Callithrix jacchus: one gene and its partners. The protein of the gene in region 3 purifies or fractionates together with the protein of the main gene of each other region. This does not show direct contact. Links are inferred from orthologs where the notes say so. Each region holds a gene or a part of one and is shown on either strand. Other genes may lie near its edges.

Evidence for each region.
Region 1: the proteins of TACC3 (region 3) and CKAP5 purify together in Homo sapiens (co-immunoprecipitation; 5 studies listed by BioGRID and IntAct, with this or other methods). This does not show direct contact. The link is inferred for Callithrix jacchus from reciprocal best matches to the Homo sapiens genes TACC3 and CKAP5.
Region 2: the proteins of TACC3 (region 3) and ENAH purify together in Homo sapiens (co-immunoprecipitation; 3 studies listed by BioGRID and IntAct, with this or other methods). This does not show direct contact. The link is inferred for Callithrix jacchus from reciprocal best matches to the Homo sapiens genes TACC3 and ENAH.
Region 4: the proteins of TACC3 (region 3) and SLAIN2 purify together in Homo sapiens (co-immunoprecipitation; 3 studies listed by BioGRID and IntAct, counting the BioPlex papers as one, with this or other methods). This does not show direct contact. The link is inferred for Callithrix jacchus from reciprocal best matches to the Homo sapiens genes TACC3 and SLAIN2.

What each region holds. Positions count from the first base shown.
Region 1 is NC_133511.1:111,901,310-111,906,970, forward strand, and holds the start of CKAP5 (cytoskeleton-associated protein 5), read right to left. Parts: upstream 3,633-5,661; 5' UTR 3,525-3,632; exon of another isoform or gene 3,440-3,524; intron 1-3,439. UniProt on the Homo sapiens protein: Binds to the plus end of microtubules and regulates microtubule dynamics and microtubule organization. Acts as a processive microtubule polymerase. Promotes cytoplasmic microtubule nucleation and elongation. Plays a major role in organizing spindle poles.
Region 2 is NC_133520.1:23,670,138-23,675,368, forward strand, and holds part of ENAH (protein enabled homolog), read left to right. Parts: intron 1-2,375; coding exon 2,376-2,707; intron 2,708-3,909; coding exon 3,910-4,704; intron 4,705-5,231. UniProt on the Homo sapiens protein: Ena/VASP proteins are actin-associated proteins involved in a range of processes dependent on cytoskeleton remodeling and cell polarity such as axon guidance and lamellipodial and filopodial dynamics in migrating cells.
Region 3 is NC_133504.1:191,421,765-191,427,437, reverse strand, and holds the start of TACC3 (transforming acidic coiled-coil-containing protein 3), read left to right. Parts: upstream 1-1,679; 5' UTR 1,680-1,836; intron 1,837-1,922; exon of another isoform or gene 1,923-2,111; intron 2,112-2,262; exon of another isoform or gene 2,263-2,757; intron 2,758-3,520; 5' UTR 3,521-3,521; coding exon 3,522-3,680; intron 3,681-3,826; coding exon 3,827-3,969; intron 3,970-5,673. Other genes in the region: TMEM129 (E3 ubiquitin-protein ligase TM129), read right to left, coding at 922-1,126. UniProt on the Homo sapiens protein: Plays a role in the microtubule-dependent coupling of the nucleus and the centrosome. Involved in the processes that regulate centrosome-mediated interkinetic nuclear migration (INM) of neural progenitors.
Region 4 is NC_133504.1:145,483,170-145,489,095, reverse strand, and holds the start of SLAIN2 (SLAIN motif-containing protein 2), read left to right. Parts: upstream 1-2,561; 5' UTR 2,562-2,817; coding exon 2,818-3,206; intron 3,207-5,926.

The DNA of each region.
Region 1 (5,661 bases), on a different chromosome or scaffold from region 3:
AGTATCATCAGCTTCTTGAGGAGAACAGTCTGATTCTACCTATAAATGCCAAGTGTAACACCCCAGATCCAGATAAAGCCACTGATGCTTCATATGCAAGCCACGTGAAAATGGCTTTATGATGACTAGGACATTTACCTTCTAAAAATGCCCACTACCCAGGTCATGGTAAATGCGGTGGTTAAGGGTGGACTCCTTAATGTGGATAACCTTACCACTGCAAAATCAAAAGACAGTTCGAGAAGCCTTACCAAATGTGCTGTCTGTTTCCTCTCATAGGACTTACAGATGCTAATAAAACCATTAGGCTAAGAGAATAGTGAGACAGAGGGCAAATGGATTCATCATGGAAGGTGGAAATTTTTAAATGGTTATTAAGAAATAAGGTAGAAGGATGTGGTGGCTCATGCCCGTAATCCCAGCACTTTGGGAGGACGAGGCTGGATGATCACGTGAGCCCAGGGGTTCAAGACTAGCATGGGTGCCAAAGGGAGCCCCTGGTAGTTTCCCAATATTAAGGGGTTCCAACCAGGTTTGCTATATTTACCCCAGTTTGGAGAAATTCTAAGTCAGGAGGCAGATTATAATGAGAAATCGAATCTGAAATTGATGGGGCAATAAGCAGGTGAGTCAAAAAGATAAAGACTAACAGGCCGGGTGTGGGGGCTCATGCCTGTAATCCCAGCATTGTGGGAGGCTGAGGCAGGTGGATCATGAGGTCAGGAGATCGAGACCACCCTGGCCAATATGGTGAAATCCTGTGTCTACTAAAATACAAAAAATTTGTTGGGTGTAGAGGCACGTGCCTATAGTCTCAGCTACTCCGGAGGCTGAGGCAGGGGAATCACTTGAACCCAGGAGACGGAGGTTGCAATGAGCCAAGATTGCACCACTGCACTCCAGCCTGGTGACAAAGCAAGACTCCATCTCAAAAAAAACAAAAAACTGACAAATGGGCAAGTGTCTCTTGGATGAGGACCCCAAGTTTTCTGTATACAAGTAGGTAAAATGGTCAGGGAGTGGTGAAGAGAAATTCCTGGGTCTCCTTCATATAGAAGCCCCAGGCACAGTGGTACCAAGAGCCATTTGTGAAGCCCTGAAGAGGGCTACAACTAGATTAAGAGAAGGCCAGTCATACTGGTTGACACCTGTAACCCCAGCATTTTGGGAGGCCGAGACAGAAGGACGCCTTGAGCCCAGGAATTCAAGACCAGGTTGGGCAACAAGGTAAAACCTCGTTGCTACAAAAAATTTAAAAATTTGCCAGGCATGGTGATGCACATCTGTAGTCCCAGCTACTCAGAGGCTGAGATGGGAGGATCACCTGAGCCCTGGAGGTCGAGGCTGCAGTGAGCCATAATTGCAGCACTGCACCGCAGCCAAGGCGACAGAGTGAGATCTGATCTCAAAAAAAAAAAAAAAAAAAAAAAAAAAAAGAGAGAGAGAGAGAACACAAAAACGTGTTGACACTACTACGAAAGTTGGAAGCCGTGTCTCCTATACATAAATGTTTTATGGGAATGGATAATATGTCTGGCTGGGGAACACTTCCCCTACCTAGAATTGCAAAAACAAAACCTGTTGATCAGGTCCTAATGGAAGCTGCAGTTAGAAAAGTGAGGGTTGGCTGGATGTGGTGGCTCGCCCCTGTAATTCCAGCACTTTGGGAAGCCGAGGTGGGCGGATCACTTAAGATCAGAAGTTCGAGACCAGCCTGCCCAACATGGTGAAACCCTGTCTCTACTAAAAATACAAAAAATTAGCTGGGCATCATGGTACACACCAGTAGTCCCAGCTACTTGGGAGGCTGAGGTGGGAGAATCCCTTGAACCTAGGAGGCAGAGGTTGCAGTGAGCCAAGATCATGCCACTGCACTCCAGCCTGGGCAACAGAGTGAGACTCCATCTCAAAAAGAAAAAAAAAAAAAGAAAGAAAGAAAAGCGTTGATGGAATTAAGATAAAAGTTTATAAGAGAGTTGGTATATTCAAACATACTTCATGTGAGAGCTCCACACCCCTCTCACACCTACTAGACCTATGCCTCTCTTCATCTCTATCCTTTGTAGCATCCTTTACAATAAACTGGTAAAAGAAAAAGAAAAGAAAAAAAAAAAAACAGAAAAACAGCTGCTGCTAAAACTGAACCGTCAGTTGTAGAAAAGTGCGATGGAATTACCACACACCACTGTTCATAATTCAAAGCTGATCAACACTTTAAAGTAATGGAGAATAAAATAAAAGTCATGTTAATTGTTATGGAATACCTTTGCTTGTCATTGCCTCAGTGAACAGCCTTTAAAAATGTATTTAAAATTTTTTTTTGCATGAGTTTATCAACTAGATTTAACTTATGCTGGCAAAATAAATTGCTTCCACCTTTATATCACTAAAGTTTATAAAAGCATTACAGTTTGCCCAGTCACTTAAGTCAAAAATCCTTTACAATTTTTTAAAGTTTCAAAAGATTCTTAGCTTCATTTATTGGCTCGTTAGGTCAAAGAAGGACTTTTCAGGGTGATGAAAATGGAGGAAGGAGGAGCTCACCTTTCTAAAAATGAGTTTTCAATTACTATAATTATGCATAAGACAGGCAGCATTTCTGGGCCAAGATTTGATGTCCTGGTCCCATGAGAATTAAATTAGAGCCATGCATAAATTTGGGGCAAGTTCTGCAAAAACCACTTCAACTTCTATTGATGCTGAATGAAAAACTCATTGTTAAGATTCATCAACACGAATATATTTTCTAACACACACTAGCCACTCTGGCAACATCCCTTTCACCATTTTCTATCCAAGAAACAGAACGGAATGCATTTCAATCCTGCCCAACAATGACCACCATTACAACTAGTAGGGGAGAGCTCAAAACTAAGAATCCAGTTCACTGAGCCCCGACCTTAAAGTAGCAAGGCCTGCTGGACCCCACATTGCTGGCTATTGTATTGGTTCCCCCACATCTCCAGGGCTAGAAGGACACCTGAACGCTCCCGACACCTTGAGAGAGTGAAAGCCAAACAAACGTTAAGGGCGGGGTGGTGCATGATCGGAATCGTTCACATCGCAGCAAGCCGGCAGGGGACACAGGTGTGCGGCCAGGCCCCAATACCGCCGTTCTCGTCACGCTCCGAGACGACAAGGCCCTTCTCAACCACCACAGCCCTAGGAGGCTCTTACTTATTCATTCACTTGACAATTACGCGAGGAGCACTCTAGCAGGGCCGGCTCCCCGGGCCCCCGCCCTGGTTCGGGTATATCGCAGCCGCCAGGCGCGGCCCGGTGCCGCCCGCGCTTCCCGGGCACTGCCACCCGCGCCCTGCTGCGGTGCGCTCTGGCCACCCGGAGCCCAACCCCGGCCTCCGCCGCACACGAGCGCCCACGCCCCCCGCCCTGCCCGCCGCAGGTCCCCCGGCCTCCGCCCCGCTTCGCCGCCTCAGACCTGCCGGGTTCGTGGGACAAGGGCGGCGCGCTTCTGAAGACCCCCCCGCCCCTGGGACCCAGAGACCACTGTACGCGCGCGATACCTGCCCTCGAGGGCCTCGTGGGTGGGGCAGGCCCACCTATCACTCACCTCAGCCGGGTCAGAACCAAGGGGCCTGCTCTAAGCCGTTTGAAACCGCTTGGGCCGCCGCACACCCCGCAGTGTCCTCGTTCTTTATTGGTCCTCGACGGACCGCCCATCAGCCTTTTATTGGTCCATTTGAAAGGTCTGTGGGCACGCGCCTCCTGCAGCCTTAAGGGAGCCGCGCGCTGCTGTGTTTCCCTCTGGACCTGGCGTTGCCAGCTCGGGTGGGGACGCCGGTCGCTGCGGGGGCCGAGCTGCCGACGGCCCCGAAAAGGAGGGCCAAAGGTGTGTGTAGGGCTGGGCATTTCTGACCGTCAGCATGCCTCAGCCTCCTGAGTTTAATGCTACCTTGAGGAATTTGTCCTACAGATGTACGCAAGTATGCAAAGAAAAAGAAAAATTTCCAATGATGTTTACTGCACTACTGCAGTAATCCCAAGTAGCTGGGATTACAGACTTGCATCACCATGCCCAGCTAATTTTTTTTTTTTTTTCTGGTAGAGACGGGGTTTCACCATGTTGGCCAGGGTGATCTCGAACTCCTGATCTCAAGTGATCCACCCGCCTTGGCCTTTCAAAGTGTTGTGATTACAGGCATGAGCCACTGTGTCCAGCCAGCACTGCTTAAGATTAAAAAAAAAAAAAAAAAAATTCTGGAGGCCAAGCATGGTGGCTTATGCCTATAATCCCAGTGCTTTGGGAGCTGGAGGTGGAGGATTGCTGGAGTGTGGGAGATAAAGGCTGCAGTGAGCTATGATCATACCACTGTACTCCAGCCTGGGTGAAATTAGATGTTTATCAACAGAGAACTTTTTACATGAATTATGGTATATCCATTCAATGGAACTCTATGCAACTGTTTAAAAGAATGTGGTTCATCTACATGCTGGAGTGGAAAAATGCACAAATTTTATTAATTGAACAAAAAGCAAGTTGCAAAACTTGTGCAATGATTTTATTATATATGGTTATAAATATATGTGTTTGAGGACATGCCTGAAAATGGTTAGAACCTTCCTGGAATTATAAGAAACTTAATAGAAGTGGGACTCGACAGGGAAGAAAATAAATTTTTACCATTGATATGATGTGTTTCTTTTTTCCTTCATAGAAGGAGCGAGATGTCTAGTGGGCAAAGTGTGAGTCAGGGCACAGAAACAAGGAAGTGCATCGTATGTATGGGACTGAACATGTGGGGTTGATTTTAGGACTGAAATTATGTTGGGAAGTAGTGGAACACAAGATTGACACAGAAGGTTAGAAGCAGTTCTTAAAGGATCCTGAATACCAGGGTATGGAATTAGTACTTTGTTAAGTGGATAATGGGGGGGGGCTATTAAGAGTTCCTGAGCAAGAGAGTGACAAAATCAGAGTTGTACTTTAGGAACATTAATTAGATTGATTGTCTAAAATGGTTTAGAGTTGGGAACCCAGCAAGGCGTCTGATATGAGGTGTTAGCGGTAGAGAGAATGAGAGCAGATTCAAGAAAGAATGAAAGATTTGGCAACTGACTAAATTAGTTGCAAAGGAGAGGGTGGATCCCATTTAGGGAGGCGAGTCAAAGAGAATTCCAGGATTTGATTGCCCAATGGAAGTAGGCAATCAGAAGAAGCAGGTCTCAAGGGTAGGGTGAGGAGTTTAAATTACAACCTGTTTACTGGTAGGTACCAATGAAGCATTCTAATGGAACCGTCCAAGTAGGCCTAGAAAATATACAATGGAAGCTGGAAGAATAGATGTAGAATCAATGATAAAGATTTGGGGATCACATTGATAGAGTGAATGAGACTACAGACAGGGGATTGGAAAGAGTGAAAGGATGGGCAATGAGGACAGATTCACATGTAGGAGAAGAAAGGAATGAATCAAAGCAATACGGTCATGGTAACCTTGGAGAAATTGATGAGGACATACAGAAATAGTCTTCTTCAGTCATTGGTTGTTGGCATATTTACTTCATTTAAATATTACCAGAAATAAACTGAAGATCACATTTATGGAGAGGGTGTGATGATAATCTGGAATTGGCTTAATAAAGTATGTTTGTACAGTGTGGGTCCTGGAGAGTTTTAGAACAAGACGGCAAAACCCCTTT
Region 2 (5,231 bases), on a different chromosome or scaffold from region 3:
AGACACAGATGGGTAGATTGGATGGAAAGCCAAAACCCATTGGTATGCTGCATCCAGACCCATCTCACATGCAAGGATACACAAAGACTCAAAGGGATGGAGGAAGATTTACCAACCAAATGGAGAGCAAAAATAAATAAATAAAAAGCAGAAGTTGCAATTTTTGCCTCTGATAAAATAGACTTTAAAACAACAAAGATCAATAGAGGCAAAGAAGGACATTACATAATGTTAAAAGGATCAATGCAACAAGAAGAGCTAAGGATCCTAAATATATACGCACCCAATACAGGAGCACCCAGATACATAAGACAAGTTCTTAATGACTTATAAAGAAACTTAGACTCCCACACAATAATAGTGGGAGACTTTAACATCACATTGTCAGTATTAGATCGACGAGACAGAAAATTAACAAGGATATCCAGGACTTGAACTCAGACCTGGAACAAGTAGACTTAATAAACATTTATAGAACTCTCCACCCCAAATACACAAAACATACATTCTTATCAGTACCACATCACACCTACTCTAAAAGTGACCACAAAATTGGAAGTAAATCACTCCTCGCAATCGCATAGCATTTCACAGGTTTAAATGAAATATTGGTTGGCTGCTTGTTATTTTCCTCCCTTATTCCTTCCTGTCTCCATTGTTAAGCACAATTATTGGCATAAAAGAGGTTTTCAATACCCATTTTTAGACTGCATTCTAGCCTGGGCAATAAAGCAGTACTCCCTTTCTCTCTCCCTCTTTCTCTTCCTCTTTCTCTTTCATTCTTTTTTTTCTTTTTCTTTTAATTCTTTCTCTCATTCTTTTTTTCTTCTTTCTTTCTTCTTCTTCTTTCCTCTCTTTTTAAAAAAAAGAAAAAGAAATCAGGAAGAAGAGTCATGTCACCTGGGTGGTTGGCCAGGGATATGTTACATTCCTGATCTGAAAGGAGGGCACAGGCAGCAGAGTCACAGCATGTGGGTGCTGTGCCCAGTGATAATGTCACAGTGACTCCTGTGAGCAAGACCCAGGGGAAAATAAAACACACCACCCTGTTGCTGAGCCAAATGTTATGTCACAATCTTTCCTGTGGGCAGGATGCAGGCAGCAGAAGAGAGTCACATCTCCTAGATGATGAATGCAGAGGGATGTCAGGAGGCTCCTAAGAATGGTAGGCTAACGCCCTGTTTACAGGCATAGACAGGTACCTCCAATCTTCTAGGTATTTGGTCTAGTGATATGTCACAGTACTCAAAATATGTGGGGCCTATGCAAAATAGTCACATTACCTAGGTGCTAGGTCCAGGGAGATGTCATCATCCCACATTTTGGCATGGGCCTGGCAGAGAAGAAGGACACATCACCTAAACAAAACAAACAAACAAAAAATATGTATATATGTATATGTTATATATATATGTATATGCCTATGTATATACATTATATACATATGTGTTTATATATACATCTATGTGTTATATAGATGTATATGTATGTATATACACATATAGAGAGAGAGAGACATACACACCCAAAATGTTGCCTCTGGGTATGAGATTTCAAATCATTTAAAGTTTATTTCTTCTTTCTTGTCTCTTTTTCATTCAGCACATTTTTTTTGCTGTTGCTTTTGAGAAGGAGTCTTGCTCTGTCACCCAGGCTGGAGTGCAGTGGCGTGATCTCCGCTCACTGCAGCCTCTGCCTCCTAGGTTCAAGAGATTCTCCTGCCTCAGCCTCCCAAGTAGCTGGGATTACAGGTGCACACTACCATGCCTGACTAATTTTTTATATTTTTGGTACAGATGGTGTTTCACCATTTGGCCAGGCTGGTCTTGAACTCCTGATCTCAAGAGATCGACCTGCCTCAGCCTCCCAAAGTGCTGGGATTACAGGTGTGAGCCACCACACCCTGCCTGTTCAGTAAACGTTTATTGAACTATTGCTGTAGCCAGCCATTGTATTTTCTGAAATGATAATTACTATTTGTACAATTAAATTTGATGTTAGGAAGGATATTACAACTTTACAAAGTTTTTCATTAAATGATTAAAATAATGACTTGGTCATTAAAGTATGTTGAGTTATTTGGAAAAGTCATTTGCTTGCAACAGTACTCATGAAAAGTACAGAATAAAATTAAATGTTAGTGTAATATGCGGAAGCATTCAGCCCCTGTGATGTCAATAGGAAAAATGTTTTTTATTTGTATGAAACGTAAGTCATCTCTATCCAAGGTGGCCATTACGTGGGAAGAGAGATGTTGATTGGATGCTCTACATTGCTTTTATTTGACTTAGAAATAATTTACATAGCTGAAAAGAATTACTTTTTCATGATGATTATCTATAGATGCATGTTTTTACCTTTTTTTTTTTTTTCAGACAACTACAAGAACAGCAACGACAAAAGGAGCTGGAGCGGGAAAGGCTGGAGAGAGAAAGAATGGAAAGAGAGAGGCTGGAGAGAGAGAGGTTAGAAAGGGAAAGGCTGGAGAGGGAGCGACTGGAACAGGAACAGCTAGAGAGAGAGAGACAAGAACGGGAACGGCAGGAACGCCTGGAGCGGCAGGAACGCCTGGATCGGGAGAGGCAAGAAAGACAAGAACGAGAGAGGCTGGAGAGACTGGAACGGGAGAGGCAAGAAAGGGAGCGACAAGAACAGTTAGAAAGGGAACAGCTGGAATGGGAGAGAGAGCGCAGAATATCAAATGCTGGTAAGAAGTTTACAAACCCTTCTGTGTTCTTGTATCTGAGCTTGGATGATGTCTCTTGTGCAGTCATGTGTTAAAATATTTCACATTTGAGATGCTTGGGATTAAGCCATACAATTTGAAATTATGAAAAAAGTACAGCAATTACTGCTTTAACATTTTATTTTTGTTTCTATATTGCTTTTATTGCTTGGAGACTTAAAGAAAGCTCTTGGAAATTTTTATTCTGCCATTCTAATTATTCTAACTCCCTATAAATTGGCTATAAAGTGTAAGTGTGTTTTTATGGGAAATTTTATACTGGATGAACTTCAAATATATTTCCCATATGAGATCACATAAATTGTCTCAAATACTATAGGCTCTAGTAGCATTCAGCAAGAAATTTCCTTGATTGCATTCTAAAGTTTTTGAAGGAAGAATTAGTAAGTGAAAAATATTCTCTAAAACTGACCAGTTAATTTAAGTATGCTTTCTAGTATTATGAAAAATTAGTGAAAATTATGAAATCTGATGTTACTGAAAGACAAAAGGGTTAAGATATGGCTGAAAGTTTGAGATATTTTAACATTTATTAAAATTAACATTCATTGTAGGATTTAAGAATATTCCTTATGGCCTATATAAAAAGTCTCAATGTGGGTTAATTAAATAGTGGTTTGTTGGTTTATTGTTTAAGTTAATTTATATATTTTTAGCTACCAAATTATTTTCTGGAGTGATGGCCAACAAAACAAAACTTCCCCACAAATAAGCATCCAATAGGAGGTTTCTCACACTTTGTATTAAATGTTTTGCCAGTTTTACTAGTTTTGCTATTTGTTGTTTCAAAAAAAACTAAATTTATTCTTCTGTTTATGGTCCTATTCATGTGATTTTAATGTTCTTTTTCTTGTGGACTAAATATTAAAAATTAAGACTAATACTAGCTTTTTCTCATAAAGGATAAATAGTCAATTAAATTTATTAATCCACTTATTAGATAAAAAGGAAACTTATCCTCATCTGAATCTCAAAATGTATTTACAAGTTAAAATATTCTTTGGTGAAGATAGTTATTTGCATTTGTGCCTAATTCTCTGGTACTAACTGTAGTCTACATTTATACATTGTGTCTGAATGCTGGTTTTGTGGCTTCACTAGCTCCCTTTTTCTCTCTCCTTTTTTATCCTGTCTTTTGCTGCTGCTTTCCACCTTCTGTCCAGCTCCATCTTCAGACAGCTCCCTGTATAATGCTCCACTTCCTGAGTATTCCAGTTGCCAGCCTCCTTCAGCACCTCCTCCATCATACGCTAAAGTCATCTCAGCTCCAGTGTCAGATGCCACTCCTGATTATGCTGTAGTGACTGCTTTGCCACCTACTTCCACACCCCCTACACCACCACTGCGACACTCAGCGACACGTTTTGCAACATCTTTAGGTTCAGCCTTCCACCCTGTTCTTCCCCATTACGCTACAGCTCCTCGTCCTCTGAACAAAAACTCTCGACCTTCTTCTCCTGTGAACACACCCTCTTCTCAGCCTCCAGCTACGAAGCCCTGTGCCTGGTCTACTTCCAATTTTTCGCCCCTCCCTCCATCTCCTCCAATAATGATTAGCAGCCCCCCAGGCAAAGCTACTGGTCCAAGGCCTGTCCTCCCTGTTTGTGTTTCTTCTCCTGTGCCCCAAATGCCTCCATCACCGACAGCACCCAATGGGCTGGTTGACTCTGTAACATATCCAGTGTCTCCACCGCCTACCTCAGGGCCAGCAGCTCCTCCGCCGCCGCCTCCACTGCCTTCCCTCGCATCACTGTCACACTGTGGATCTCAAGCTTCTCCTCCTCCAAGCACCCCTATTGCCTCAACTCCCTCATCCAAGCCTAGTGTTCTCCCTTCTCCCTCTGCAGCTGCCCCTGCCTCTGTTGAGACTCCTCTAAACTCTGTGCTGGGAGACTCTTCTGCTTCTGAGCCAGGCTTGCAGGCAGCCTCTCAGCAGGCCGAGACTCCAGCCCAACAGGGTAAGGCTTTCATTATTGCTACTAACAGCAAATCACTTGAAAATGTTATCTAGCAGCAACTTTAATTGCCTGAATGGATGAGTAGGAAGTTTTTGATCCTTGAACATTTATATGCCATAATGCCATGGGTTTTTTTTTTTTTTTAATTTAAAAAATTAAAGTAGAAAAGAAATTATTTTCCTGTTGGATTAATTGCATTTGGAGGAATTTTCATATTGAACTACGTTTTGATATCTTTTGTAGTATTACAGTTAAAGATGTTTTCTAGTATTTAAGAGCCCTCATAATACGTTTCTTTCTTTATTTTGAGACAGAGTCTTGCTGTGTTGCCCAGGCTGGAGTACAGGAGCTTAATCTCAGCTTACTGCAACCTCCACCTCCCGGTTTCCAGCGATTCTCCTGCCTTAGACAGCCAAGTAGCTGGGGTTATAGGCACATGCCACCACACCCGGCTAATTGTATTTTTAGTACAGATGGGGTTTTGCCATGTTGGCTAGGCTGATCTTGAACTCCTGACCTCATGTAAT
Region 3 (5,673 bases):
TGCAGCTGGAAGGGCTACAGAAACCCACCTAGTACCCTTGAGTGGTCTGGTCAGGGCCCCAGCCCGACTCAGCCCCATCCATCTCTCAGGTGGGGCCCCAGCCCATTGTCTCCATGAGGCAGACCTGGGCACCTCCACCCCACACCTGCCTCCAGCTCTCCTGGGCCCAGGCGGCTGCATCCTCATACCAGGATGAATGGTCACCCCTCTTGTGTCCCCAGAGCGGCAGACCTGGCCGGCCACTGGCCATCCGTCTTCCCAGAGCTGCGTATGCCCCTGTCCTCCTTGGAATCCCCCTCCAGACACTGCTCCCCCAACCTCCCACCTTTCCATCATCCAACCTGCTGAGAGAGGGACCTTCTAGAGGCCCAGCTAGCACCTGTCGGCACTCCGTCACAGTCAGGTGCACCTGGGCCCAGCCCAGCAGTGCTCGGACAACGAGCGTCCCACCTGCATACAGAGGCCCTCCCCAGCCTCCGCCCCTGGGGTGCCCCCAAACTGGAACTGCCTCCAAATCTGCCAACACCCACTTTCCAAGGCCTAGAGCAGTGCCACCCTCAACACAGCCTCTCCGACCCCTTGTTGAAATCAGTCAACCATTTCCTTCTGGCCACTGCCCCCAACCACGGTAAGCACAGGCTGCTCGGTCTTGTGACCCCCAGGCGTGTGGCGGTCCAGGACTTGAGGCCAGGTGGACGGGGGCATCACCTGCCCAAGGTTCTGAACTTGGGCTCCCGTCACCTGCAAGCCAGCGCCAGCGGCGCCCCTAAGCGCGCTCAGCCGACGCCGCGGTCCCTCCGGACTGGGGTACTGACACCTCTCCCCAGCTGCGGCCTCGGGGAGCCGCCGGGGGCCTCCTCCTGGCCTCCCAGCAAGCCCGGCGCGGGAGGGGACGCGGCCGGCCGGCCCGGGCAGCCTCACCGAGCGGCAGCAGCGAGTGGCACAGCAGCGTGGCGGCCGTGCGGCGCAGGTGGAAGGGCACGAAGGCGGCGTCCTCGCTGCCCAGCCAGCCCGACAGCAGGTTCTGCACCGTGAGCCCCGCCGCGTGGAACTCGTTGGGCGTGAACACGAAGCACACGGCGAAGACCAGATAGGCGAGAGGGAAGATCACCTCGGGGCTGTCCATCGCGCCGCCGCCGGGAAGCTGTCCGGCGAGGCCACTGTGCCCAGTCCCGGGCCTGTCGGTTGCGGGAGCGGCGGCCGCAGCCCCGCCACCCCGCCACCCCGCCACCCCGCCGCCCGCGGGGCGCTGTGGGAGACGGAGTCCCGCCGCCCGGCCGCTCGCGGGGTGCTCTGGGAGATGGAGTCCGGCCGCCCGCAGGGCACTCTGGGAGATGCAGTCCCCGTGAGGGTGCGGCCTCTTCGGGGCCGGCCCTGGAGGCGGCGCCGCACCTGGTCCCAATGCACAGCTGAGGAAACTTAGGCCTGAGCGAGCGGCTCTCAGGCCCTGGTCATGACGCCCCGCCCAGTAGCGTACGCTGCTGAGCCGGAGGTTCACCTGGCGACTGCGAGCCAGCGGTCCCAGCTTCAGATGCTCCCAACTTGTCCTCCATTCCGGAAACGAAACCGTCGGCGCACGAGGGGGCGGGGCCGGTGAGGCACGGCTCCTATTGGGCGCCCGCGTTGCTGCGGTCCCGCCCCCGGCTGCGTGCTGATTGGCTGCGTAGAGGCAACCGTCCGCGTTTGAAAGTCGGGCGCGCCGGCGGCCATCAAGGGCTGCGGTAGCGGCGGCGGCGGCGGCAGCCAGACTCGGTCCTCGGCGCGGAGCAGGCGCGGACCCCTCTTTCTTGGCGGTGGCGGCGCGGGCTCAGAGCCCGGCAACGGGCAGCCGGGCAGGTAGGCGAGCGGCCATACGGCCCTGGGAAGCTGGGGCTCCGGGGCGGGGGACCGCGAGGCTGTCCCGCCCCGCCCTCGGCCCTCGCACTCCCGCCCTCGCCGCCGCTCTCCCCGGGAAGGGTCCCCCACGGCTCCTCCCGGGGCCGCCGCCGGAGCCCGTCCCGTGCCCTGTCATGGGACCCAGCCCTGGACTGACTGCCGGGCTGGGCCCCCTGGACGGTGGCCGGCGGAGACTGGAGCTGGGCCGAGCCCGACGGCGGAGCGAGCGCCCCGAGGTCCTTTGTTCTCCTCGACCCTCTCCTGCCTCTCGGCCGCGCACTCTGGCTCTCTGTTGGCTCCCAGTTCGCGGAGCCCCTCGTTGGTTTTTGGTCCCTTCGGGCCCCCGTCCTGGTGTCAACTCCAGCTGGGCCCCGACCGCTTCCACGCAGCCGCAGCCCTCTGTGCTCCCGAGTAGAATGAACGCACCCGCTTGGGGCCGGTCCCTTGTCTGCCCAGAGCCGCCCTCGTGGCTCCATAGTCAGTAAAAGCCCCGCCTGACCAGGCCTGGGCCTGCTGCTCTCCCGCGCTCCTCCAGGCCGTCGAAAGGCTTCCTCCGAGTCACTTTCTCCCTGAGTTCCAGGCTTGCGGGTCCCCCAGCGATCCAGCACCCCTTCCCCTGCGCTGTACCCGGTTGTTAAGGCCAAAAACCTAAGCGTCGTCGGGAAGTCCCATTTGTGCCAGTGGTCGGGCTCGGGTCTGGTCTGGCCTCTCCTCCTCGGGCAGAAGCCTGAGGTTTCCTTGCTTCCCTCCCCACCCACACAGAGCACCACAGTGGGCTTCTGAAGCCACAGCACCGACCTGGCCCGGCTGCCCCTCCTTCTCCAGGACCCTCCCTAACTTTGCTCTTCGAATCACAGCCTCCCAGGTGTCCCCCATCACCAGGTGTCCGTGGGGTCCCTGCCCAGGTCGACACTCAGTTCTCTCTGGCAGCCTTTCTGCCTACGTTTTTTCTTAGACTGGGAACGCTGTAGGCAGAAAGGGTGGCAGGTGTGTGGGTGCCCAGCATGAAGCCCTGGAAGCTGGGCCTGACCGGGGGCCTGATGTAGATGCTCCTTGGCACCTGCTGCTCAGCTCTGGACTTCTCTTGTCCACGCGCCTCTCCCAGCTCCTGCTCTGGACCTTCACCCTCTCAGCCTGGTCTGGTCTTGCTCCCTAGCCTGGTGGGAGGAGCAGAGCAGAGCCGCTGTCCTGCTTTTCTGCCCTCTGCTGCCTGGTGGTGCCTCACGCCACATGCAGAGGCCTGTGGGAAGACCACGGCTTCCTCTGGATCTTCTGGGCTTCTTATAGGCCAGGACTTTCCTGTCTCCTGACCTTTGCCTGACGAAGTAATATGGCAGTAGAGGTTCTGCAAGCCTGGTTTTTCCTTCTCACTGTCTCAGCCTGAAGGCCTTTAGCTCTTGGTCCCAGGAGGCAGCAGTGCTGCCCATGACTTTCCCTGCCAGGCTGGAGAGTGAGTCTCAGTCTGAGGCTTTCTCAGCCTCACTTGGCACAAGACACCTGGGGGAGGTGTCACCTCCAGAGTGATGAGCATGCCTCTGCAGGAAAGGGTTGTGCCCCCACAGCACTGTGGGGCAGCTGGCATGTCTGTCCAGAGAACGTGGTAGTGTTGTTCTTGCACTGACACGAACATGTTCTGCTTTTCCAGAATGAGTCTGCAAATCTTAAACAAAAATGTCAGCAGTGAGAAAAGTACAGAAAACTGCGACTTCCTGTTTTCACCCCTGGAAGTTACCGGAAGATCATCTGTTCTTTGTGAGTCACAGAAAGAAAATGTGCCACCCAAGAACCTGGCCAAAGCTATGAAGGTAAGTGTGACCTCTACCGTGTGTGGCTGGCCAGGTCGCCCTGGGTCCTGCTTTCCTGGTGACCTCTGAGCTGCTGAACACTGCCGGTGTGTCTGCGACAGCTGAACTAACAAACGGGCGCCCTCCCCCTCACTCCCCCCCGACAGGTGACTTTTCAGACACCTCTGCGGGATCCACAGACGCACAGGATTCTGAGTCCTAGCATGGCCAGCAAACTCGAGGCTCCTTTGGCTCAGGGTGACACCCTGGGACTGGAAAACTCTCACCCAGGGCGGACACAGAAGGACAAGTAAGTGTTGGCACTTCTGGGCGTAGTGCAGGTCACCGCTCTGTCCGACAGCTCTTGCAGGCACGCTCTGTCCCGTTGGCTGGATTTCTTCTGAAGGGTGCAGCATGTGGTCAGTTCACTAACAGAAAAGTCGATCATCAAATACTTGGAATAAGTTTTAACTTACTTTTTCTTTTATTTTTTTGAGACAGAGTTTTGCTCTTGTCACCCAGACTGGAGTGCAGTGGCGTGATCTCTGCTCACTGCAACCTCCATCTCCTGGGTTCAAGTGATTCTCCTTCCCAGCCTCCCCAGTAGCTGGGGTCACAGGCACCCACCACACCCAACTAACTGGTATGTTTTTTGGGTGTTTTGTTTTTGTTTTGTGGGGTTTTTTTTTGGAGACAGTCTCACTTTGTTGCCCAGGCCGGAGTGCAGGGGCATGATCTCGGCTCACTGCAACCTCTACCTCCCAGGTTCAAGAGATTGTTCTGCCTCAGCCTGAGTAATTGGGACTATAGGTGCACACAACCACGCCCAGCTAAGTTTTGTATTTTTAGTGGAGATGGGGTTTCACCATGTTGGCCAGGCTGGTCTTGAATCTTGACCTCAGGTGACCCACCTGCCTCAGCCTCCTAGAGTGCTGGGATTACAGGTGTGAGCGGCTCCGCCCAGCCCGTACTTTACATTTTTGCTGTGCCTCTGCCAACAGATTGGCCTCGATCTTTGCCTGTGTAATTTGATGAAACATCTTGACTCCATCTCCGGGAAGGGCGTTCCATAGTTTCATTTCTCTTGAATTCCACGCACCTTAGCCGCTGGAAAGAGCAGACAGACTTGTGGGCAAAGAAACCACATCGTGTGATCTGCCAGTCAGTCTGCATGGTCAGAGGGATCTGTCGGGTGAGGCCTGGCAATCTGCTGGCCGACCTGGCACTTACCTGCAAGCAGATGGCGGCAGCTTCTGTGTGTGCCTGGAAAGGGAGGAGCCTGGAGGCAGCTCTTGGCCCTGCGGCTGAACTTATCTGTCTGGGCAGCCGGGAATACCTCATCTGTATCCAGGCTGGGAAGGGACCCAGAGGCATGATTTTCTGCTGGTTTTTTGCTGATGTAAGCATCTAAAACTGTTGCTGCTGTTTTGTAATGGGGTCTTGTTCTGTCCCCCAGGCTGGAGTGCCGAGGCACTGTCTCAGCTCACTCTAGTCTCAGCCTCCTGGGGCCAAGCAGTCCTCCCGCCTTGGCCTCCTAAGTATCTGGCACTACAGTTCTGAGCCACCATACCTGGCCAAGTTTTAATTTTAATTTTCCATTTTTTAAGACGGAGTTTCACTCTTTTACCCAGGCTGGAGTGCAATGGTGTGATCTTAGCTCACTACAACCTCCGCCTCCTGGGTTCAAGCCATTCCCCTGCCTCAGCCTCCCAAGTAGCTGGAATTACAAGTATGTGCCACCACACCCAGCTAATTTTTTGTATTTTTATTAGAGATGGGGTTTCTCTATATTGGTCAGGCTGATCTTGAACTCCAGACCTCAGGTGATCCGCTGGCCTCTGCCTCCCAAAGTTCTGGGATTACAGGCATGAGCCACCACACCCAGCTAGCCCAAAACTTTAAAACAGATGTTAGGGCTGGTCCGAGTGCAGTGGTGTTTACAACTAACTGATCACAACCAGTTAGAGTTCTTTGTTCCTTCTCCACTCCCACTGCCTCACTGGACTAGCCTTTA
Region 4 (5,926 bases), about 46 Mb from region 3:
AGAAAGCGAGGAGTAGGGATTATCCTAAGGTTTTTGGTTTGAGTATCTAGAAGAAAAGAGCTGTCATTTATTGGAACGGTGATGACTATAAGACAAGCAGATTTAAGGGTGTGTACATATTGTGCAGTGTGTACGTGTATGTATGAACTGAAAGTTGTCTTATACTCAAGAGGCCTATTAAACATCCAAATACCTAGATTGATTCTGCCACATAGTCGATACTCAATATCTATTGAATGAAAAAGGGAAGACATTGAGTAAGGCAATAGAATTTAAAAATCCAAGTATATCTATCTACTATGAACTTCTCTACATATCTAAATATATTTACTCTTATGTTTTGCAACCATGAGGACGCAACAGAATCCTTTACTTTTTGGTCCTGGAAGAGATAATTGGAGATCTACAACTTACAAATCCCAAAGTAAATTAAGGACCAGAGATTAAGAGACCAGTGATGAAGGTCAAGTGCATTTATGCTAGAGCTAGCACCTCACATCAGGCTTTCTGATTCTTAATTCATTGTTTCACACTACAACAAGCTTTTCTTTCCCCACAAACGTTAGTGCTCACTTCATAATGTCCGGTGAACTATTCTTTTCAAGGAGTATATTTAAAGCGTTCCCATTAGAGAAACTGACTAGTTGGAATCTATTTTACAAAGCATTGAATGCAAGTGAAAACTGCTATACATGAAGTAGTCATGATTTTTAATCCTCCGGCAGAAAAGGTCATAGACTGGTCAGAAACAGCAATGATATTTAGATGTTCACTACATAGATAATAAATATTACTTGACAATTATGCTAGCAAACAATCACATTCTTTGACTAGGCCTGTATAGCTAGAAAAATACTCGACTTATAGTTAGCCAGCAAACTTTTAACACGGTAAGTTTTTTGCTATGAATAAATAGCTACTTGGTTTTAGTAGAACTTTCAGTCTACTTAACTTTCAACAAACCAAGTATTGAGTGTCCACTGTATCAGTGTACTAGGCATGGTAAGAAAAAATGAACAGTCTCCTCAAATCAAGTAAACTGACAAAAACAAACAAAAAGTAATTCGTAGAAAAAATGCAATTTAAAAAAAGTGCAAACACCTGTTGAGAACTATTGATCAGGTAGTGCTAGAATACGCTAGAATAATTAGATTTTTGTGGAATTGTAGGGAATAGCTTTCCCGAATGAGTGAGTATGGGTTTTAAGATAAGGAATCAGCTATGGCAGGCAGGATATTCCTCGCTAGGAAAATATGACACTAGAAGAACTAAAGGGTAGAGGCAGGTCAGTCATGGCTTGCGTCCACACCCAGGTGTAATAGGACTGGATCATTGTTATTAAGCTAAGGATGGAGATGGCAACTGAAGAAAAGCTGCAAACACAAGCCAAAGCAGTTCACAACCGAAATCTGAAGACCAACGAATGTGATCAAAACAAAGCATTTAAGTTTTATTTGGGTTTGCTGCCACATTATAAAGGCAGACTTCACATTCATACTATTTTCTGTATTCTTCAGTATCTGTCACCGTGCTTAAGTGCTTTTCATACACAACTTTTGTTTGTTTGTTTGGAGACGGAGTTTCGCTGTTGTTACCCAGGCTGGAGTGCAATGCACGATCTCAGCTCACTGCAACCTCCGCCTCCTGGGTTCAAGCAATTCTGCCTCAGCCTCCCGAGTAGCTGGGACTACAGGCGCGCGCAACCATGCTCAGCTAATTTTTGTATTTTTAGTAGAGACGGTGTTTCACCTTGTTGACCAGGATGGTCTTGATCCGTTGACCTCGTGATCCACCCGCCTCAGCCTCCCAAAGTGCTGGGATTATAACAACTTTTTAAAAAGTCAAGACACACTTGATCCAAAGAGCAGCCTGTGAGTCAATAAACGGAGAAAGGCAGTAAATAAGTGGTTTCTATCGCCCAATTCTGCGCCAGTATGCTGTAAACTTCAAGTCGGGAAAACTGTGTTTAAACGGATGAGATAATGCCTTTAAAAGTGCTTAGCACGGTGTCTGGCCAGTAGGAAGCACTCAAGAAATTATGATTATTTGACCTTGGACCTCTCTTAACTGTCTGAAACTGGGGTTTCTTATTTTCAGGAAAAGAAACAGGACACAGGCAGTCTCTCAGGCTCCCGTCAGCCGAGACAATTTCCAATTAAAAACAGGCATCGATTAGATAGTTGCTGAACAAAGTAAATCGTCTCTCTACGGCTGGGCTGAGCGCCCACTGATATCCCGCCCGGAACGGTCCGAAACGCCGAGACCAATAGGCGGGGCTGATCGAGGACCGTGTGCGCCACCTCAGCCCCGCCCGCGCCGAGCCTTCGGTTCGCCTACAGGCCTGCAGAGACCCTCCCTAGCCAGCCCGGCCGCGTCCCACATCCGCCGGCACGCCCCTTCCGGCCTAAACCCCGCCCCGTCACGGGCCCGCCCCGCCCCATAGGCCCCGTCCGTGGCCCCGCCCCGCCGCGAGCCGGCGCCGGGTCCTCTCAGCGATCGCGGGCGGTCGCGTCCACCCCCGACGCTCTGAGGTCACTGACTGGGCCGGACTGCGGGGGGGCGGAGGGACGGAGGGAAGATGGCGGCAGAGGCCGGATATTGGCGCCGCCTCCCCCAATCCCGGAGCCGGCGCAGATGAGGCAGCTTGGCTGGGGCCAGCGGCGCTTTGGAACCCGAGCTGGGGGTACCCTGGCGGTGGGGCCTGGTCCTGCTATATGCCGGCGCCTCGGCTAGAGTGAGCGGCGGCGACGCCTCTTTCCTCCGGCTCTTTCCCTGTCTCTGCGAGAGCGAGCGGGCGGCTGAGGCGGCGGGGCCGGGATGGAGGACGTTAACTCCAACGTGAACGCGGACCAGGAGGTGCGGAAGCTGCAGGAGCTGGTGAAGAAGCTGGAGAAACAGAACGAACAGCTGAGAAGCCGCTCGGGGGCCGTGCAGGGTGCCGGCTCTATCGGGCCTGGCAGCCCGGTTCGAGCCGGCGCCTCCACTCCCTCCTCTGGAGCGGCGTCTCCTCGGGGCTTTCCCTTGGGCCTCAGCGCCAAGTCGGGCGGCGGGGCCGGGTCGGGCCCGAGGCGGACGAGTAACGAAGAGCTGCGGGACGCCACCTCCTTGTTCGCGGCGGGCGAGGGCAGCTTGCTGGACGAGGTGGAGCCGCTGCGGCCCGACGAGCTGGAGCGTTTGTCAGGCTGGGAGGAGGAGGAGGAGAGCTGGTGAGCGCGGGGCGCGGGGCGCGGGGCCGGAGCTGGGCGGAGACGGGCCCGGGGGCGGAGAGCGTCCTCTGAGGGTCCCTCTGGTCCTGCGCCTCGCTTTGTGTAACCAGGTTCGCTCTGTGGTGGGGGACTCACGGTTTTTTTGCTTTGGCAGAGGGAAGGTCAGCTGGAGTTGGGGGTTCGAGGCGTGCGCAAGTAACAGGGTTTTAGCTCGTTCTTTGGCTTGTGGACTCTCTGGGTGCTGGATCCTATTGGGGTCTGTCGGTTGGCGCAGGTTGAGAAGGGCTGTTCGCCTGGGGAGGAGTCGGAATTGGGAAACTGCTTTGTAGGCAGGGATCCTGCTTTGTGTAAGATACTGGCTTTCGGATGGTGGCCCTGGACATTTTGGATGTAGGGGAGGGGTCTGCTTGATGAGGTATCACCAGGTGCTGGGGGTCGGGGGCAGTACGAAGTCGTCTACGTCTATGCAGTGGTTAGTGTGTGGGACCCATTTCTGTCGGGTATGGGGAGACCGTGTGGATCAGCACCCCCGCTTTGGGTAGTGGGGTAAAGCTTGCTTTGTGTGAAGAGGGCAGAGGATGGTGCTGCTTTGTGTGAAAAGTCAAGGGTGGAACAAGAGCCCTGGCTCTTATTTTCTAAAACAAGAATTGAGTCTGGCGTTTTGCATAGGTCTGTATTGAGTTATCACATCCATCTTTCATTTCCACGTCCTCCTAGGGGCAGAGAAAAAGAGTCCTATTTTAAACTCTAAACCAAAGCTGTATTGTCATAAGCTACTTCTTTATGAAATTGTGATCCACACCTTAATAATCACTTTCGTAAATAGAAAGGACATGGGAGGCTTTCCCCCTCATTTTATTATAAAGATGTCTGTGGGAAATTCCTTCTCTTAAGTTTTAACTTTTAGTTAAAATGTCTCTGCTCTGTTAAAATTAAAACTTCTGATTTAGTGAAATACTCTGGTATTTCAGGGTTGGAACTTTGCAGTCTTCTGAGGTTATTTAAGAGCTTTCCTGGATTCAGGCCCTGGTTTTGCCACTTACTAACTTTATGACCTTGAGCACTCTGAGCCTCACTTTGTTCTTCTATTTGATGGAGAAAATAATAGCACTTACCTCTATAGAGTTAATGAAAATTTAGTAAGATAATCCATGTAGGCATTTAGCACTGGATCTGGCACATAGTAAACTCTAAAACTAGTATTTGTTTTCAAGCCTAGTTATTTAAATCAAGAAATATTTTGTGAGCTTTTACATGATGATGTAGGAGATGCTGAAGATTGTGTTGATACGTGTTCATAAGGCAATTATAGTTTATTGAGAACTAAGTTTTGTGCAGTTAAGTAAACTGGAAAGTGTACAGTGAATTACCACCTAAGAAAGACTTGCTTTCTTTACCTTAACAAAGCTCATGTTTGACTCCTGCTTACTGTTTTGATCCTAGCTTCATATCTTGATATTATAGATGTCATATATTCTTCCTGAGATTTGTGTGAACTGAAAGTTGGATAAATCATTTAAAATGCACTGGGGTATGTGTTTAGGGTAAAAGTTGTAGGGGGAGGTTGTAATTTTGTGCAGTTAATAAACTGGAAAGAGTGATAAAACAAAAAGTACTGACGGTGCTCTGTAACTGGGAAGAAAATAGTAGTCCAAAGTAGTTGGACCAGACTTAAGGAGGTGACTTTGGAGTCTGTAAGTGACGAAAGAGCGGGAAGGGCATTTTATGCTCTGACAGCTACAAGGGCACAGTCGGAGGTATTTGTAACTCCCAGTTAGAAGATTTGAGTAACAGAGGTATTCTTAAGTATATAATGACAAGCCTTTATTTTATTACCACGTGATATCAAATGTTATTAGAGCTGACTATGGTAGTGACAGTTTTTGATATAAATGTGAAATTGCATTCTCCCAGAGGAATCCTGGGTATGTATGCACTTGAAAAGAACCCAGAATTATGTAAATATTGTCACATGGCTCTTGCAAGTGATGATAATAATGATGCTCATAATAATGAGGATTAGCTGCACTCATCAGCCCATTTTAGATTATGTATTATTAGAACACATGGAGTCTACTTGGAGAAGCCGATTAAATCTTTGGCTGCTTTGGTTCCTGAACATGAGCTTTGTTAAGGTAAAGAAAGTCTTTCTTAAATACTATACCTGGAGTTTCTTTTGACTAGATGATTCCTGCTTACTGTTTTGATCCTAGTTTCATATCTTGATATTATAGATGTCATATATTTTTCCTGAGATTTATGTGAACTGAAAGTTGGATAAATCATTTAAAATGCACTGGGGTATGTGTTTAGGGTAAAAGTTGTAGGGGGAGGTTGTCAGTGGCAGGAAGATTCAAAGTAGATTTTTTTCTTAGCAAGCTAAAAATCTACCTTCTGTAACTTCTAGTTGTTGCACTTTCTTTTTGATCTAGAGGAATGAAATTCCTTGGATGTAGAATTCCTCCCAAGTGTGTGTGCCACAAAGTGCTAGTTCTGAAGATGTCCATAAGTGCCATGTAGAAAAAAAGTGGATGGGTTCCGGGGGTTGAATAAATGCAAGAAAAACTGGGTTCAACAAAAATAAACAGTTTTCTTTAATGCTAGGCTCTTGGAGATGTTAGTGTGTTTTGAACATAGTAAATCTCTAGAGAGTATGGTTTGGTCGTAAACTTAATGAGCTCCCAAGGAGCTAGTATCTTACAGAACACACATAGAAAACA